2 linked regions of the Canis lupus familiaris genome follow. The protein of the gene in region 2 purifies or fractionates together with the protein of the main gene of each other region. This does not show direct contact. Links are inferred from orthologs where the notes say so. Each region holds a gene or a part of one and is shown on either strand. Other genes may lie near its edges. The genes, in order: KCNAB2 and KCNA5.

Region 1 (3,234 bases), on a different chromosome or scaffold from region 2:
TTGTGGGGGCCACTGCTAGATGTTCAGTCGCCCTAGCCCCTGGGCATGCAGCACACAAAGCCCTAGGGACCCACCCTCACTGAAAGGGCCTAAGGGTGGCCTCTCTGCATCCCTGAGGGCCACAACCCAGGCAGAGCAGAGTGGGCTGCCCTGCATGTGGTCAAACCCAGTGTCTAGCTACGGATGCACGACCTCAAGGCCTTCTGGGGTAAGGACAGAGCCCCTGGCAAGGAGGACAGTGGGGCCCTGGAGGGACCTGGGCTGGAGCCAGCTCCTCAGACCCCTCCCGTGGGCTTGGGGCTGCTCTGGGCACGAGGCTCATCAACTGTGTGCAGGGAGGCAGCTGGCAGGGTGATGAACTCAGACCCCCAAAATTCCCATGGGCCCCAAACTGATAGTGAATCCCCCTGGATCTCTGCCCCTGCCAGTAAGGGTGGGGGTGGGGGCCAAGGGACAGCACGGAAGGCCCCAGAGAGACCTGCTGGGGCAGGTGGTGGTGCTGAAGAAGGCGCAGAATGAATCTGAGGTCAGGCCCATCGTAAAATCCTGGGAGCCCTTGACAAGAGGGAAGTGGAGGGGGACCCCACTGGGGAGGCCCTGCCCAACATCCAGTGCCCCAGCAGAGGGGGCCACAGGAAGGGCCAGCCCTGGTTTCCTCTTTCCCACCCCCAACACCAAGTGGGGGTTCTCAGCAGATGAGAGGCCAGCCCTGCTGCCCCCAGGACACAGGCCAGGCCTGGAGGCATCTCTGGGAAAGGCGGAGGCTGGGAGCAACTGGGGTGCTTTCTTCTTGGAGGGGGAGTAGAGGCTGTAGGCGGGCTCGGGCGGGACCGCTCCAACATCCTGCCCCATCAACGCGGCCTCCCCGGCACGGATCTGAATTCGGTCCCGCGAAGCAGTGAATGGTGTTTTGCAGCAACTTTTGAGATCTTTTCCCCACGAGGAGGACATCTTGCCGTGATGTTTTCTGTTTGATGCAAACCACACCCCTGACTTGGCTTCAAAACGGCTTAAGCGAGCGAACAGAGAGACTAGGAGGGAAAGAGAAACTGTCCGGGCAAGCGGCCGGGGGCTTCTTAGGATCTGTAGTCCTTTTTGCTGTAGGGTTTATTGCCCAAAATACTATCAATCTCGTGGATAATGGAAGACGACAGTTTCGGAAGGACCTGCGTGCGAGGACAGGAGCTAATCAGAATCCCACCCGCGAGACTGGCCCGGCCTGTGGAGGAGGCTGGGTGACAGTCTTCGGGCCACTGCTGGCCTGGCCCGCCTCATCGCATCAGACTCTCGCCCAAGCAGGTGGGCACTAGGCTGCTTCTGTGTTCCACAAGTTCTGGGGCAGAGAGGAAGCCTGCCTGGGTTTATCTCTGCGCCTCAAGCTCCAGAATGCTCTAGAACAGTCTAGAAGGCATAAAATACAGGTTCCAGGGCCAGACCCCTGATACCTTCACCCCTAAACTACTTTTCCTAGCCTTCCATACTTCAACCAACAGCAAGGCCATCCTTGCAGGTAACGCAAGCCTGTGGGCAGCCTCTTCTTGTGCTCACCCTGGTCCCCATCCCGTTGGCCTCACAGTCCTGAACATCCAGGATCCAACCCTCTCCGAGGAGGCCTCCTGTCACTTCCCTGCAGATCTCTCCGTGCCCTCCTCCTCTTCCCTAAAGGCTTTCCTCCACTCAGCAGCTAGGGGGAGAGGGATCAGGCCCTCCTCTGCTCTGGAGCGGGGGCTCCTGCTCACCCAACAACCAACGAAGTCCCTAGAACCCTGGGCACAGTCCCCCCTTCCCCTGCCCCGCCCCTCTGCTCCAGGCCACACCCACCGGCGCCTCCTTTGCTCCCGGCGGTTCCTCCAGGGGTTTGCAGGTGCCACTCCTCACCCTTGGAGCCTTTGCTTACATGTCATTTTTTCAGCAAGCCTACCCCTGACCCCCTTCAGCCTGGACCACAGCACCACCTCCCTTCTGCGCCCACCAACTCCCCTGCCCTTGCTCTGGTGCTTATCACCTTCATATTCCAATTTCCTCATTTCTTGCATTCAGAGCTCACTGTCTGCTCTTCCAGAGCAGAACTTTTGGTGGCTCGCTGATGTAGCCCGGACACTTACAACAGTGCCCGGCCCATTGTAGGTGCCCAAGAACATGGGCTGGACGAATGACTGACTAGGACCTTGAGTTCGGTTCAAGGGCTTGGGGGTGACACATGCACATGCACAGAGCCCCCCAACTCACCTGTATTGCTCCAATGTTCTCCATTAGCTGGTCTGCGCTGGAAGCACCCAGGAGCACAGAGCTCACTCCCTCATTCCTCAGGCACCAGGCTGGGGCAGTAGAACCAGAGGTGAGGGAGACACACCCAGGGCAGGGGCCCTTCCTGGTTCTTCCCTGTCCCTAACTGGGCCACAGAGATCCAGCCTGTGGGCCATGGGGCTGAGGGTGCCCAGAAGGTCCCTGGCAAGCCTGCCGCTTGGCATGCTGGGTGGGGGATTTGCCGGGGATGGGGCTGCAGAGGGCTCTGGGAGAGGCCTGGTACCAACAGCGTCCAGGGGGAGAAGTGGACCAAGTGCTCAGGGACGACCCCCCACCCTTGTCTCCCCATGAATGTAGGGGCCCTATTACCTACTGGCTAAGGGAGGCAGTGGCCCGCCCAGGCACTCAAGGACTCCTGACATAGCCCCAGGGCCAGTACTCAATCCTTCCCCCTCCACCCCCACCCTCACCCCAGGTCCTGTTACCTATGGCTAGCTGGGGGAGTGTGCAGCCCAGACGCTCTGCAATGGCCTGCAGCTCCTTCAGCTTGGCCTGCTGGCGCCGGCCCTCCTCACTCAGGATTTTGTCCTTCAGCCACTGGTAACCCTGGTTGTGGAGGGTGAAGAGCACAGCCTACAGGTGAGGGCAGGGCACCTGGACCTCTGGATGCAGATGGCTGATGGCTTGTGCCAAAGCAGCATCCGCCCCCCTGCCTAACCGTGTCCCACTGCAGAACAGGCCCGGGCAGTCAGAAGCATGGGGCCTGTCTAGTCTGAAAGCGCAAGCCTGTGGGGCCCCTGAGCCAGGCAAAGAGCCTGGCAGCCTGGCGAGGAATGCTTTGGCCTGTGGCCCAAAGGTCTGGGGGAGCTGTGGTTTCACCTGCCCCAACCCACGGGATTGCAACGCTTTCCAGGGGACTCCCTGACTTTGCTGTGGATGGGGCAGGAGTGGGTGGACAGGCCATCCTGCCCTTGAACCCGAGGCCCG
Region 2 (3,829 bases):
TATTTCCTGGGATAGAAATAAAGAGAATGAATTATCAAAAGTCTTTCTTCAACATCATTAAAATGCTTTTCAAAGAAAATTACAAGAATTGTTTAAGGCGCACAGAGAAGGTCAGTCTTGCCTTTCTTCCAGAACATTCCTTGCCCTAGACGCAAAACACCGATACCAGATCCCAGAAAACAGAGAGGCTTACAGACAACAGGAACCAGAACAGCCATAACCAGGGTCTCTGGCTCTAATAGAATTATCACAGAAAAACATCACAATAACTCCCTCTTCCATAAATACAGCATTTCTGGAAAATGTATCCAAAATATCTCCATCTGAACTACAGTACAAAAATCCACTCACCAGCCATAAAAATAATATTTTCCCCTATACACAAATAAAATCATATGTAAAGCAAATTTGGAACACATGGAGGGGGTTACAAAATCCCTTGGGATCTTGGCTATTTAAAGTCATTTTTTGTTTGGGTTATCCCTCTGCTGGGTATAGGGAACTGGCTACAAATACATCCATTTCGTAGTGCTCACCATTTCAACAGCTCCTGCGTCATGGAATGTGGTACTTTTTAAAAATAGGCGACCCTTGGTGTCATGGAAAGAAGAGGAAAAATGGGGGATCAAGGGAGGGAGGGAAGGAGAGAAGTCTAAAGAGGGACAGACTTCAAGGTGGGCTTGAAATACTCCGTGGTATAAAGTCAGTACCCCGGCTCAGGAGGTCTCTGCTATCCCCACCCCACTACCACCACTCTGCCGGGGCTCCCCCTTACAAATCCGTTTCCCGACTCGTGTCCAGGCAGAGGGCATAGAGGGATCGCCGCAAGTCCACATTGCTTTTGGCCTTGAGGTTACACTTCTCCAGGGGGCAGCTGCCCCTTCGGGCTCCGTCTGCATTCTCCAGGGACACTCCAGCCTTGCACAGGGACCCCTTGCTCCAGCTGGTCTTCCGAGGGCCTCCGCTGTCCAGCCCTGTCCCCTGGCTCTGGCTGCCCTGCTCTTCCTTCAGAGCGGCCTGCTCCTCGTGGTCCGTCTCCCGGTGGTAGAAGTAGTTGAAGTTGGAGACAATGACGGGCACAGGCAGGGCGATGGTGAGGACCCCGGCGATGGCACACAGCGAGCCCACGATCTTGCCCCCCACAGTGACAGGCCTCATGTCCCCATAGCCTACCGTGGTCATTGTGACGACTGCCCACCAGAAGGCGTCCGGGATGCTGGAAAAGTGGGTCTCCTGGTTGTCAGCCTCTGCGAAGTAGACGGCACTGGAGAAGAGGATGACCCCGATGAAGAGGAAGAAGATGAGCAGGCCCAGCTCCCTCATGGAGGCCTGCAAGGTCTTGCCCAGGATCTGCAGCCCCTTGGAGTGGCGGGAGAGCTTGAAGATGCGGAACACCCGGACCAGGCGGATCACTCTGAGGATGGCCAGGGACATGGCCTGCTGCCCATTCTGGCCACCCCCTCCCCCGCCTGGCTGTTGCTCGGCCAGCTCGGTGCCCAGGGTGATGAAGTAGGGGAAGATGGCCACCACGTCAATGATGTTCATGATGTTCCGAGAGAACTCCGCCTTGCTGGGGCAGGCGAAGAAGCGCACGAGCAGCTCGAAGGTGAACCAGATGACGCACGTGGTCTCTACGATGAAGAAGGGGTCAGCCAGGGTCCGCGGCAGGAGAGGCGCCACCGTGGGGCCCGAGGCGGGCGCCAGGGCCGCGCTGCCGTTGGTCCCCCGGGCGGGCCCAGGGGGGTGGGGGGGCCCCGGGGGATGGCGCAGCAGCTCGCGCTCGTCCCGGAACTCGGGCAAGGTCTCCAAGCAGAAGGTGATGATGGAGATGAGAATGACCAAGACCGAGACGATCGCGATGGCCCTGGCGGACCCGGAGCTTTCCGGGTACTCGAAGATAAGCCACACCTGTCGCTGGAACTCGTTGCGGGGCAGCGGCTTCTCCTCCTCCTTGATGAAGCCCTCGTCCTCGCGGAAGCGCTCCAGGGCCTCGTCCCCCAGCTGGTAGAAGCGGATCTCATCGGCGAACACGTCCAGCGAGACGTTGACCGGCCTCCGCAGGCGGCCCCCGGACTGGTAGTAGTAGAGGATGCCGTCGAAGCTGGGCCGGTTGCGGTCGAAGAAGTACTCGTTCCGCAGGGGGTCGAAGTAGCGCAGGCGCTTGGCCGGGTCCCCCAGGAGGGTGTCGGGGAACTGCGCCAGGGTGCCCAGCTGCGTCTCGAAGCGCAGCCCGGAGATGTTGATGAGGACGCGCTGGTGGTGAAAGGACCCCGAGCCCGGGCCCGGCACCTGGTCCTCCGCCAGGCCCAGGGCGGGGTCGCCGTCTCCCTCCTCGTCCTCCGGGGGCAGCCGTCGAGGCAGAGGCAGCGCTGGCAGAGGCCGCGCTCCGGGGTCCGCTCCCCTCGGCGGGCCGCGCTCCCTGGGCTCCCGCTCCTTGGGGCCGGCGCCGCGCGCAGCCGTCGGGGGGCACTGGAGCTCCCCCCCTACGGCCTGGCCACAGCCTGCCCGGGCCTCACCTCCTCCCCTGACGGTCATGGCCCCGCCGTTCTCCAGGGGCACCAGGGCGAGCTCCATGGCCGGGGGGCAGGGGGCATGCTGCGCCCCCACTGACCGGCGTCCGAGCCCCCGCTCGCGCCCGGCTGGGCGCCTTGCGTGGCTCAGGCTCTTCTCCAGCCGTCGGCCGGCCTCCCTGCGGGGCGGGCTGGGGCTGCTGGCGCGATCCCCGGGCTCGGCCCTGACGTCAGGAAGCTGCTGCCCTGCTCGCTGCCTCGCTCTCCGCTCTCCGTTCCGGCAGCCCGTTACCAGGCAGCCAAAAGCCTCCTTCCAGCAGATGCAACCTTCAGCCGCCCCTCTCTGGCTGCGGGGCGGCGCTCGGCCTCGGCCTCCACCCAGCGCGGCTCTCCCGCCTCTTCCCTACCCCGCCCCGTCCCCTCCCCTCCTCCTTCCCCCGCGTCCCCTCCTGGGTCTCCAGCAGCGGGTGTCTCCCCGGAGGGAGGGCACGGCTGGGGCCTGGGGCGACTGGGGGGGGGGGGTGTGGCGGAGAAGGGAGCAGCCTGGAGGTGGGGGGAGGGAGGGGGGGGAATGAGAGGCTGAAGGAACAGGTTGTACCGACAGCGCCAAAACTCCCAGGGCAACCAGATGAGAATAGCTGTGGATTTCAGTTCACCTGGGAACCCGCTGAACGCCAAGTGGACTCCAGGGGAAATGAACTGCCTTGGGTTGGACGGATGAGACATGAAATAACAGCCCTTTTACAATCCTCCTTTGGAGGAGTAACTAACCATTCCATCTTCTTGGGGAAGAATTATGGACAAGAAGAGGCTGGGCAGAGCTATGGGCCCTGGGGATCTATAGATCTAGAGATACCTAGGGCTGGAGATACCTCCAGACCAAGGTGTAGAAGCCTCTCTCTTCCCACCCAAAGGTAACCGGCTGACAGCTGGCAGTGACCCCCTGCCATAGCCCTGGGACAGCCCTGATTCGCAGTCCAGAGAGTCATGGCCCGTGGGACAAATTCACTGCCTGGTCTCCTATTCCTGAGGACATATAACTCCTCACTCTGCATAAATCCGGTTTGCAAAATCCAGTAAGAGAGAAAGAGAGGAAGAGAGCTGTTCTCCGGTGAAGTTTGGAGCTGGCAACTGCAGCTTTGTGTGTGTGTGGGGGGGGGGGGGGGCGGGGGGGTATGTAGGGGGCAGGAGTGGGGCCCTGGAGGCTGTGGAATCCCAAGGTTGGAGGCCTCCACGGAGCAGAATAAGAAGCAATACTTACTTTGTTCCTATGATGTACCAGGTGCATTGTCGGCTCTTTACAATGACTGACTGGTGTA

What was found.
Region 1: the proteins of KCNA5 (region 2) and KCNAB2 purify together in Homo sapiens (co-immunoprecipitation; 3 studies listed by BioGRID and IntAct, counting the BioPlex papers as one, with this or other methods). This does not show direct contact. The link is inferred for Canis lupus familiaris from reciprocal best matches to the Homo sapiens genes KCNA5 and KCNAB2.

What each region holds. Positions count from the first base shown.
Region 1 is NC_049226.1:60,500,806-60,504,039, reverse strand, and holds part of KCNAB2 (voltage-gated potassium channel subunit beta-2), read right to left. Parts: intron 2,854-3,234; coding exon 2,733-2,853; intron 2,319-2,732; coding exon 2,230-2,318; intron 1,167-2,229; coding exon of another isoform or gene 1,077-1,166; exon of another isoform or gene 1-1,076.
Region 2 is NC_049248.1:6,280,206-6,284,034, reverse strand, and holds KCNA5 (potassium voltage-gated channel subfamily A member 5), read right to left. Parts: upstream 2,575-3,829; coding exon 772-2,574; downstream 1-771. UniProt on the Homo sapiens protein: Voltage-gated potassium channel that mediates transmembrane potassium transport in excitable membranes. Forms tetrameric potassium-selective channels through which potassium ions pass in accordance with their electrochemical gradient.